Linked DNA regions of Coturnix japonica. The protein of the gene in region 3 binds, or shares a complex with, the protein of the main gene of each other region. Links are inferred from orthologs where the notes say so. Each region holds a gene or a part of one and is shown on either strand. Other genes may lie near its edges.

What was found.
Region 1: the proteins of EGLN1 (region 3) and EPAS1 are in contact, whole or in part, in a crystal structure (PDB 7Q5X), measured with the Homo sapiens proteins. The link is inferred for Coturnix japonica from reciprocal best matches to the Homo sapiens genes EGLN1 and EPAS1. Residues at the interface, in NP_071334.1 of Homo sapiens: Gln239, Leu240, Val241, Ser242, Lys244, Ile251, Arg252, Trp258, Asp277, Ile280, Arg281, Ile292, Asn293, Gly294, Arg295, Thr296, Lys297, Tyr310, Val311, Arg312, His313, Val314, Asp315, Pro317, Asn318, Asp320, Arg322, Arg370, Trp389, Tyr390; in NP_001421.2 of Homo sapiens: Asp525, Leu526, Glu527, Thr528, Leu529, Ala530, Pro531, Tyr532, Ile533, Pro534, Met535, Asp536, Gly537, Glu538, Asp539, Phe540, Gln541, Leu542.
Region 2: the proteins of EGLN1 (region 3) and HIF1A are in contact, whole or in part, in a crystal structure (PDB 3HQR), measured with the Homo sapiens proteins. The link is inferred for Coturnix japonica from reciprocal best matches to the Homo sapiens genes EGLN1 and HIF1A. Residues at the interface, in NP_071334.1 of Homo sapiens: Gln239, Leu240, Val241, Ser242, Gln243, Lys244, Ile251, Arg252, Trp258, Lys262, Asp277, Ile280, Arg281, Ile292, Asn293, Gly294, Arg295, Thr296, Lys297, Tyr310, Val311, Arg312, His313, Val314, Asp315, Pro317, Asn318, Asp320, Arg322, Arg370; in NP_001521.1 of Homo sapiens: Leu559, Glu560, Met561, Leu562, Ala563, Pro564, Tyr565, Ile566, Pro567, Met568, Asp570, Asp571, Phe572, Gln573, Leu574.

What each region holds. Positions count from the first base shown.
Region 1 is NC_029518.1:23,775,211-23,778,857, reverse strand, and holds part of EPAS1 (endothelial PAS domain-containing protein 1), read right to left. Parts: coding exon 3,574-3,647; intron 3,193-3,573; coding exon 3,069-3,192; intron 2,978-3,068; coding exon 2,860-2,977; intron 2,448-2,859; coding exon 2,265-2,447; intron 2,024-2,264; exon of another isoform or gene 1,567-2,023; coding exon 1,415-1,566; 3' UTR 1-1,414.
Region 2 is NC_029520.1:49,067,548-49,071,194, reverse strand, and holds part of HIF1A (hypoxia-inducible factor 1-alpha), read left to right. Parts: intron 1-1,650; coding exon 1,651-1,777; intron 1,778-1,927; coding exon 1,928-2,079; 3' UTR 2,080-3,647.
Region 3 is NC_029518.1:35,717,666-35,721,778, reverse strand, and holds the start of EGLN1 (egl nine homolog 1), read right to left. Parts: upstream 2,917-4,113; 5' UTR 2,774-2,916; coding exon 1,877-2,773; intron 1-1,876. UniProt on the Homo sapiens protein: Cellular oxygen sensor that catalyzes, under normoxic conditions, the post-translational formation of 4-hydroxyproline in hypoxia-inducible factor (HIF) alpha proteins.

The DNA.
Region 1 (3,647 bases), about 12 Mb from region 3:
TACCAGATGGATTTCAATAAATACCTCAATATGTAGTTATTTCAAAGTCAGAACTGCCTACCTACTTTTATTAGTTTTAATATTTTTGCTGCTTAAATACACTCCAATTTTCAACCTTCAACATTTGAAAGCATTCATAGCCTTATTTCTAAAAATGTGTATGACAATACATCATAGTTGAAAAAGAGCCCTGAAAACATCTGAGTTTAATAACATTTCAGCACTTGATTAAAACATAAGGTAAGTTAAAATGAGAAAAACCTGTCTTTCAGTAATTCATCTCACTACACCATTCTTAATTCTTTTTCTCCACTTACAATTGAGTTAGCATAATATGCCAGAAAATACTACTCCTAGTTTCAATATTGAAATTATATTGCTAGCCAGACATACACCAGAAAAAAGGTAGCAGTATTCAGAGGTGTTACTACTGGCCATTGGTCACATTCCTGAAGTATTTTAACATTCCAAGAAATACTACTGGTTCTAGCAGAAACAGCTCTTAACTTTTTGTGTTCTAGATGTAGCAAAAGTACCAAGAGATGATGAACAACTGACCCAAAGAGAAACTGTTAAAAAAAAAAAAAAAAGATGTTTTGTGTAAAAAAAAAATGAAGGGAACAACAAAGAAAAAAACAAAACCAAAAGTAGAACAAGCAAGAAACCCCAACGCAAACAAAAACACAGGTCTGAATCCTCCACTGGGATAAATCTGTGGGACAGTCGTGTCCCTAGCACTAAGCTAGGTTAAGTCAGTAGAGGACGTGACTTGCTTCTGAGGAAAAAAGCTTACAGTGTGCAACCTTCACAGATACCCACAAACACTGTCGTTGACCATTCACATTTCTTTCACCAAGGTGTATAAAACTGAAGGGGAAGGGAGGAAGGCAGAAGGCTGGGATTTCTCTTTAGTATGCTTTTCCAGAAGTTATTGAAGTTAGAAAGCAATAAATGCTGCAAAATAGAAAGGCTCAAAGGATTTCAATTTGGCAAATGAACAAAAAACTGTGGTTGGAGATCAAATTTGTTTCATTTGTCTTTGGCAATAAAAATAAATCTTTGCAGTACTGCAGCCAAAGTATCATGCGACAAGGCATTTATACCACAGCTTTTTACTAGCATGAAAATCGAAGGAAATTTGAGTATAAATTACAGGTAACAAGATAAAGGGAAGGTAATCAAACTCTCTAAACAACACTTTAATTGGAATAGAGAAAATACAGTAGATGTATTTCTTTAATATGAATAATAGAAGTGAGTAACTTCAAAAGGCCACTATTTGGTAACGTGGACAGATTCAATATCTATGTAAAATCCTGTAAAAGTGTATTGGTATTAGAAATCGTCTACTTGCAAAAATATATTTAAAAACTGAAGCTGTTTTGAACAGTATAGGCCAATACTGCAGGATTGCTCAGGTTGTCTGGTCCAGGGCTCTGAGCAGTTCGCTGCCCTGCAGAAGCGTGGAACTGCCCAAAACAGGGACGTTTACCTCACAGTCATATCTTGTCAACTCAGGCAGCAAATATGGTTCATAGGAAGACCCCAGCAGACGACTCGTCACACCTGAAACAGTAAATCAGGATGCTGAGATTGGAGGGAGAGAATGAGGGCAAGAGAATGTTTCCTCCTCTTCTGTTTATACCAGTTACTACTATGTATTGTACTTATGCCAGCACACCTCAGACTACCAACAGTTAACATTTTCAGAGCAAATACAAAGCATCTCTGCTTTATGGGATTACAAGCACAAAGTTTTCCACTTCCACTCTAAATTCAGATTGTTCAGAGGAAAATGACACCAGTGAAAATGAAGAAGGCTATAGTAACATAGCTCATAAAATGACAGCCTTGCTCTATCTCCATACATCTCCTTTCATTGCAGATATTAATTTTTAGAAGGCAGATGTTGGTCTGTAATCCACAAACATGAGCTACCACTGCTGCACTGAAGTTGCTTAGTACAGTTTAATCACCTTTGTCACAAGACAAGAACATGCAGGAAGATGACTAGACTACTAAGGTAACAGAGGTACTAGTTGAAATGAAACAAAGGGAAAAAAATTGTTTTTTCACATATATCACAAATGTATGTGTTTAATGTGAAACTTTTAATAGCCAAATTAATTTTTTATTTTGTGTAACACGCATTTGACTCTTGGTTTAACATTCTCTTACTTTTGTGTTAAAAGCTTTATTCTCATGGAATCTGTAGTGGAACTAAATGCCAACATTTTTCAGCCCCTGTATTTGGTAACTCTTACCTGACACTTTATGAGCTGACTGCACAGTATAGTCCTGATAATGGGGACTGTAAAACTGAGGGGAAAACGCTCCTGCTTTCAGATTTTCACCAGGACTGCCACAGGTGGGTTGCTGCTGTTGCTGCTGCAGCTGCAGTTGATTCATTGGTTGGCTCAGACCTCTCGAGTTGCAGACAAACTCATCTGATTCATACAGGAGAAAACAAAAAAATCAAGCCATTGTAATTGTTATAGAAGCTAATACTAATTTGAAGCAAATTGTTCCTCAGTGTGACGATGAATCTATGTAGGCATATCTAAATTCAGTACTACCTGCAAGTTGTGTTGTACTAAAGATATTTTTGAATAATGAAAAACAGTGCTGTAGAAAGAAAGCATCTGTTCTAGCTTTAAATGCCCACACATTGGATCAGCGCTAGGTAAACCTACCTCTATTAAACTGATCCCTATTTACCTCCCAAGTAAGGGTATGGACATATATGAAACAATCTACTTGGCAGCTATCAAACATACTATAAATTGTTCAACTGTAAGCTATATGGGAGATGGAGTTCAAAGTAGCTTAACACTGCAGAACCAATTTCTTTTCTCTTACCAGTAAGAACACTTGTGCTGAGAGACTTCTTCTCCGTAAGCAAGGAACAGTTTTCCCCTTTGAGAAATTTCATTCTCTTCCACATTAACTGAGATGGGTTAATGGCAGATGGGTCTCCCTACAGTTTGGAGAAAAGCAAAATGAATTGATTACACTGATGATCTTGGTACATCCACAATTCTGAAATGGATGCATTTTCTTATGATTACCCCAGTCAGCTGTTGCATTGCCTGCTCTTCATAATCCAACTGTCGCTTCAGCTTCAAACTATTAGACAAAGCAATTCTTGCTGGGTTTATATCTATGCCTCGTTGCCCCAAACCATCCAGCAGCCTGTTGAAAAAAGATCTCTGGGTGAGCAAGAAGGCAAATCTAAACCATCTTTTTCATTTATACAGATTCTTCTTTCGTCTATTTCATTTAAGAGGCCTTTAGACACGTGACACTGTATGTTGAATGTCTTTGTTTCCTTTTGTTAGTCATCCCACATGCTTTGGGAACACTTTACTTTGGGGATCAAAGACTAGCATAAGTAGCCTCTAAAATCTCCAGCCAAGCGTAAAAATAATATGGAAAAGAGTCATGAGATTTTTAATCTTAGGATTCTGAAAGCTATGCCTGTCTCCTTGCTAAGCACAAACACGAGTTGTATGTATTCAAGATATCTACTGCTTTCTGCTCAAATATTTTCCAATGGAAAACATAAATTCTTACCTTTTTTTATATACGGGCATGTTGGGAGAATGTATTGGGGGTCCTGAGGGGGAACTTGATAGGGTTCCTGAGTA
Region 2 (3,647 bases), on a different chromosome or scaffold from region 3:
AAAACAACAAACGTACTTATGCTATCAGTCTTATTCGCTCAATGCTTTGCACTTTCATGCATGCTGTGCCATTGCTTTCAGTAGCTCCTAAGAATTCACAGCTCTGCTTCAAGTTTTATTGCCTTCTGTTGCCTTTCTCATGCAGTGGTGCTATGGCTGTGCTACAGTGTTGCTGATATGCATTTCAAGGTAGCAGAACACAAGCAGTTCTATATTAACTATTGTAATAAACACAAACTTACATGTTGAGAGCCCTTTTAAAGCTTACAAGTTTGTATTTCACCCTTTGCTAAACCTTCTTTTTGTGCCTGATGAGTGTTATAAATATTTTGACAGTTTCTGCATGGTCAGAAGGTGAATTTTCCACATAGTGGGGGGTCTTAGTGACATTATTATAAGCAGGTACTTTTGTCATCTGGTTTCTCTCTCCAGAGTGGATTTCTGAGTGTACAAACTAGGCGTTGCAGACACACAGAAGAAAAATTATATTAAATCCAGGCTTGTATCACACAGAGATTTGGGACTATGCAAAAACTTGCCATGACTTCCATGGCTGTATAGAAGCACTATTAATTATTGAAAAGAGCAAAAATAATTGAAGACAAAATACAACTTCAGGTTTTCTGGAAGATGAGAGAATTAGGCAAAGACAAAGTGTGCTATAGTGATATTAGGAAATAGTGATACAAATAGTTAAAGCAGAAAAAAGTGAGCTATTTTTCTTCATATGGAGGGCTGCAATGCATTCCCAGTAGTAGAATGGAACAAAAACCAGTACAGGAACAGTACCGGTGACTTGCTATGAATGCAGCTTCTGAGTTGTTTAACTCCTGTTACACAGCTGTCTTTTGACTTGCATGCATGTTTAATAACCTGAAAAGCTGTCCCTTAATGGCAGGATTCTTAAGTACTTTTTCTTCTTTCCCAACAGTCAGCATTACTAACATGGCAAAATTTTGCAGATTCAACCCCTTGTTACTAAGATGGTGTTTTTTCCTTTCATCCCATCTTTGTTTCAGTCGAGGCCTTTTCTTATTCTAATTATATGGAGTTTTCCAGAGCTTTCTGATCTCTACATCTTGGATGCTGCCATCAAAACAATATGCTAAGGAGCTGTTCTGCAATAGAACGGCTCTGGACTGCATTCCCCTTAAGCCTTAGGTCAGTTGGGTTTGGTGGCAGCATCTGGTGCACAAGCAGATTTTACAACTGAGATGTAGATAAAATCCACTGAGCGAGGTTCCTGACTCTCCTGTTTACACTATTAATGCCAGTGCAGAAAACCATGAGACTCCAATGGAAAAATGTGATAGTTATTTGTATGAGAGCAGTGGTAATCAAATGGGCATGTATAGGTACCTGTCCGTGCTAATCTTGAGCCTGGTAGCTGGTGATAACCAGGATTCAGTAATTACTTTGTGCAAGGGAGGTAAACTCTGGAAATCTGATCCCATTTTTTTTTTTTTTTTTAAAGTAATTTTTATGGCTACTCTATTGGAAATATATTTGATCTCAATTCTGAACGAATTCATCTGTAAACTGTAATAAAGCCAACATCAGTGACAGGGATCCCTATTTTGGCAAAGGGGTGCAGAAGTCTAAGCAAGATGCACCATTCAACAAAGATGATTTTGTTTTACTTTCTCCTAGGGATCCTTATTCCAGCAGACAGGTGACCGTGGAGGAAACGCATCGCTTGCTTGGAAACGTGTAAAGGCGTGTAAAACAAACGGTCACAATGGAGTGGAGCAAAAGACAATCATTCTACTATCAACTGGTTAGTATCTTTAACAAACAAAACGTATGTAGAGGGGGGCAGGGGCTGTGAAAGAAAACTGATGCAAACATACCCCAGCTCATCTCATTCCTGAAAAATCTGGGAGGAAAGTGAATAAAGTGCACTTTTTTCCTTCCCCTCCCTCTATAGACATAGCGAGTAAACTTCTAGGGCAGTCGATGGATGAAAGTGGACTACCCCAACTCACGAGTTACGATTGTGAAGTAAATGCTCCCATACAAGGCAACAGAAACCTGCTACAGGGTGAAGAACTGCTCAGAGCTCTGGATCAAGTTAACTGAGCTTTCACAGTAGTTGTTCCTTTTTTGGACACTGGTGAATCATCACCTAAAGCAGTCTATTTATATTTTCTATATCTGATTTTAGAAGCCTGGCTACAGTACTGCACTAATTCAGTTAGTTCAGTTTTGATCCCCTTTCTACTTATTTTGACAGTCTTTTTACTACATTCTTTATGTAACAATAACTCAAACCGTAGTGCGTTTTTATAATTCTTTGGTACGTACACTTTAAAGTCCATTACATTTAAAACACACTTGCAACAGCAGCTTAGAAATATGCACCTGATTTTAAAAACCTATATATATTTATTTTTTTGGCTGGGGAGTTGGTCACCAAAATCCATCATTAGTAAAATGTCAGCACGTGAAAAACTGGCAATACTTCTATCCTGCTCTTCATAGGTAGCTGGAAGACTTGTGCTCTCTTACTCTTTATGTTCAAGTAAGGTTTTGTTTCGTTGTTTTTTTTTTTTATTATTTTAATATTTTTTTTATAAGAAACAACAACGCTTTGCAGCAGTGCATTGTAGCCACAATCGCACAATATATTTTCTTAAAAAGAATACCAGCAGTTCCTCATGCAATATATCTGCATTTATAAAAACTAGTTTTTAAGAAGAATCTTTTGTTTGCCTACGAAATCACGTCTAAACCTGGATTATGTCATTATTTTAGTCACATTGTAATATAAATTGTTCTTAAATGCTGTCTTATGCTTTTGACTTACGAGTGTGATTAGTCGAAGGGAAAGGATTGATCTGGGAAGGGCTAGCAGCATTTTATTTGGGTACATTCTCAATTTAGAGAGAGAGTTTGATGTTCTTAACGTAGTCACTTCGCCAGCTTAAAAGAAATCCCTGCCTGTAGTTGTTGAAGTTAATGCTAATATTGTGTATGATCTTAAATCTAAATGTTCAGCTTACCCTGTGTGGTATAGGTGATATTTCAAGCAGATTGTAAACCATCTTGCATTGTTAGCAGTTTTATCTAGTACATCATTGAGTTGCTCAATATTTTAATGTTTTGGTTTTTAAGCACCTTGTTGCTATTAACATCCGTATATTTTCGTGTAGATTTCAATAACTTGAATATATTTAGAAGCCTTTTTATTTAGAAATATATAGTTGTCACAAACATCTTATTTTCCTATATGTACTGTACAAAACATTCATTCACTCGTTCTTTTGCTCTTTGTGGTTGGATCTAACACTAACTGTATTGTTTTCTTACATCAATAAACTATATGTGGACCAGGCCCCCTCGGGGAGTGTGTTATCTGAGAAAAATGAGATAATTTATATTTTTGTTAGTGGTTATTGTTCATCCGTGTTCCCTTTTTAACTTAGACTTGATTGGAAATCACAGCTTCCTTATTTTGCTCACAGCATCTCCGACTTCATTATTTGAGCCTATTCGGTACTAAATTCTCCCACACAGTGTTGTACTACCGCCGGCCAAAGATGTCAAACTTTCTAATCTGTTATCACACCAGTTAGCAAACTTGAAAGGGAGAAGACAGCACATCTGTGTTACTTCTGAGCAAAGACTTTTTCCTTAAGGACAGCTTA
Region 3 (4,113 bases):
AGATCTGGGTATTGGCTTTATTTGGTTAAGCAAACTAAGCCGTGCACTTTGTATCAAGGTTGGAAAAGACCTAGAAGATCATCTAGTCAAGTATGGTGAGCTAACAGAAAAGCTTTGGGGTAACTGCTGTGTAGTAGCATCATCTCTGCTGCACACTCATCTCTACAGCTAAGAACAAAATGAACTGCAACTCCTGCAGGAGTGAGACCAAACCTTGATCCAGAGAAAGCAGAGACGAGAAGGAAACAAAAAACAAGACTTTCCCAATAACCCAGAGGTGTCACCGTGTTTCCATCCTCCCAGAGCCAGTAGCTCTGTCCCAGTAGCTCTGATGGGACATGTCAAAGCAGCTCCTGCCCTTGGGCTCTACTCACTCTGGCAGAAGGGTGAAGGAAAGGTGCAGGCCTCCAAGGATGCAAGAGAGAGTCTGCTACCCCTGCAGACATTATGAACAAACACAGACAAACCAACCAAGTCTGATTCTTCCACTCAACTTGTGCAGCCCCTTGCAGCGATACACCTTCACTCACTAGTAAATTTTTAACAGTGATGGACAGATTTCCTCCTGCTTGTGCTGAAGCTTTAGGAAACCAAGCTTTCCTGCAACACCAGAAGCACTGGTTTTGGGAGATAAGCAAGGGAACAGGAGAAGACAGAAAGTAATACATTTCTGTACCAGCGAGGAGCAAAGGGCTGCCTGCACCTGCTTCGGTCCCTGGAAACACAGGGATTTATTTCAGTAGCAAGTGAATACCAAGTGGTGCTCAGCAAACTTCACAACTGTATTGCTGCTGTATTGCCCTGGCACACGTTACTTCCAGCAGCACATCACTGTGCTCGCAGACAAAAACAGTGCTTCTCTTGGGAAGCACTCAAGGCTCCAGATGTTTGCAGCAGGTGAGTCTGAAGCACAGGCACCTTAAAGAATCACAGAATGACCCGGGTTGGAAGGGACCTCAAGGATCATGTAGTTCCAACCCCCCTGCCTGGCAGGGCCACCAAACATACACCTTTACTAGATCAGGTTGCCCAGGGCCCCGTCCAACCTGGTCTTGAACACCTCCAAGGACGGGGCATCCACAACCTCCCTGGGCAGCCTGTTCCAGGGCCTAACCACTCTCCTAGTGAAGTACTTCCCCCTAACATCCAACCTAAGTGCTCTTTTCCAGAATCGTAAAGGCTGGAAAAGAGCACTAAGACCATCCTGTGTAACCATCAGCCCACCCACCACATCCCTTAGTGCCCACACACGTTTCTGTTATACCTCCAGTGACTGTGACACCACCACCCGCACGGGCAGCCCGTGCCACTAGCACACAACTTTTTGGCTTAGAAAAAATCCGAGTCAACAGAGCAGGAGGAGAAATCCAGACCACGTTTGTGATGGCGTTCACAGAGCACTGCTTCAACTGGCGGTACGCGCAGATTGCATCGCAGAACAAAAAGAAGAAACGAGAAGTTCCCCCCACGTTGCTCTGCGGCAGGAGGTAACTCAGCGCATCCGAACAGACCCGGGGCTGTCTCTCTCCCCCTCCCACTCCCGCTTCCCACCAGCTGAGGCCCCACAGCTGCACCAACAACAGCGACTCTGTGCCCGGGCCGGCCTCGCCGGGCGCCCCCCGGCATCTCACTGCCAGCCTTATACTTCAACAGAGGCAGCAAATTGTGAAGGGGCTGAAAAGACGGTAATGAATATTCATCGCGGTCCTTCACGGAGCGTACGATCTCATGCGGCGGACCTGAAGAGAATCGCCAATCAGGCCGACACAACGGGGCTCGCTTCTGCGCCCTCGGCCGCCCCGGAGCGCATCGGCGACCACGTGCGCTCGGTCCCGGTCCCGGCCGGCGGCCCGTCCCCACCCCGTCCCGCACTCACTTTCGTCCTGCCGTTGATGCGGTAGTTGCCCAGCTTGCCGTTGCAGTGGCGGATGAGATCGTCCATGCTGTTCATGAGCAGGCGGATGGTCTGGCAGCCCGGCTCCTTGCCCTCCACCCAGGTGATCTTGTCGCCGCGGATGTCCTTGGAGGAGTCGCTCTTCTGGCTGACCAGCTGCCCGTCGGTGAAGCGGCCGGTGTGATGCAGGGCTCGCACTTCTTGGGCCACCAGCCCGCCCAGCTCTTTGCCCAGGAAGTCGTCTACCACGCAGATGCCGTGCTTGTTCATGCAGGGCACGATGTACTCCAGCGCCAGCCGCTGCGGCACCAGCGACTTGGTCTGCCCGTTGGGACGCAAGGCGGCCCCGCCGGGCCCCGCCTGTACGCCGCCCGGGTACAGGTTCGACTTGTCCCGGTACAGCGACACCGCCTCCGTGGCGGGAGCCGGGGCCGTGGCCGCCGCCTCTCCGCCCCCGGCGGCCGCGACGCGCTCGTCGTCCTGCGGGGCGGCCTCTCCGTGGGGCTCGGGGCCCGGCGCGGCTCCCTTGGCCGCCTCCTGCTCCGTGCGGCCGCAGGCGCCGCGTGCGCTGCGGGAGCCGTGAGCGCGGGGCGGCGGGGGCTGAGCGCCGCGAGGCTCTACAGCGCCCCCTGCCGCGCCCGCCGCGCCTCCCCCGCGGCAGATGAGCTTGTGCTTCTTCCAGTCCTGCCGCTGGTGCTCCTTGCTGCAGTAGAACGAGCTGCGGCAGCGCCCGCACCGCAGCAGGTTCTCCATCTTCCCGCACAGCTCGCAGTACTGCCGGTCCCGCTCGCTGCTGCTGCTGCCGCCGCCGCTGCCACCTCCGCCGCTGCTACTGCCGCCGCCGCCCTGTCCGGCGCCGCCGCCGCTGTCATTCGCCATGGCGCTGCTGGTGCGGCCGCAGCCCCGCTCCGCCGCTCGTTATGTAAGGAGGCGGGCGGGAGCGGCGCTACGCGGGCCCCCGCCCGGCCGCGCTGGGAGCGGCGCTCACTGCATCATGGCCGCCCGGCTCGCCGCGGCCCCCGCCGCCCTGCGCGTCCGTCGGCCCGCGGCCTCCCTCCCCGCTCCTCGGCGCGGCCAGGCGCGGGGCCGCCGCGGGGGCCCTCCGTGCGCCTCTAGCGCCGCTTCATCGCCGCCCCGCGGGAGGCGGCGGAAGGCAGACGGGGCGAGCGGGCGGCTGGCGCGGTGCGCGGCCGCTCTGCCGAGTGCGCGGCCCGGCGCGGCCGCCGCCCTGCCCGCCGCGCCTCAGCGCCGTGTCGGGGCGAGGAGGAGGCGCCACGCTCGCGGCCCGCTCTGCACGTACGCCACTTCCAGCCCGCCAGCGCCGGCGGCGCGTCAGGCGGGCGGGGCCGAGCTGCCGGCGGGCGGGGCCGGGCCGGGCCAGCCGCGCCGTGCGGGAGGCCGGCGGGGTCCGACGTGCTGCGAAGCTGCTGACGGGGCGTGGCTGGGAACCTCGGGCCGAGCCCCCGCTGCCGGCGTTGGGAGCGGGCGGCACCGGCGTGACGAGTGGTTAAAGTCGAGCCTTGGGTCCGGCCGCGGTGGCCGAGCGGAGGGTCGGGCTGTGTCACTGTAGGCCCCGAAGTCAGCCGGTGGAGCAGGAGGCAGCGCCGTCCCCCTCGTAAATAACGTGTGGCTTCTGTTCGATCTAACCCGGCCCTGACCGCCGGAGCGAGGCGGTTTAAATAATGCAGAAGGAAGAGAGAGCAGATGATGGGGGCCGTGAAACCACGAGGTGCTGGGGCCGGCGCTACCGTGAGCGGGACAAAGCCCCACAGGAAAAGGAAGCTGGTTTGGCCGAGCGGCGGGAGCTGTGGGGACGGCAGAGAGGAGGTGACGCCATGGAGGGATGAGAGCCCCACCATGGTCACATCGGCTGTCAGCAGCCACACCAGGAGCTCTGAGATGACGTGTGTGCTCCGATCCACTCGGCTTAGCCTGAACCTTGCTGGCTTGCAGTAGATGTCAAGTGAATGTGATGTATCCTGTACATCCTGTGCAGTATGGCCCAACACAGTGTCAAGGTGCAGCACTCAGCAGCTCCTTCCTGGGCTGTGGGGCTCATTTGCTCTGAGGCCCATCCGGCAAGCAGAGCAGAAGCTTTGGTTGGCTGGGCTGGGCAAGGGCACTCAGCTGCTTTGTGTATCTTCTCAGCACAGAAATCCATCCTAAAGCCAAAGAGGCCCAAGAAAGGAGCCATGTGCAGACCTGGGGGTAGAGAAGCA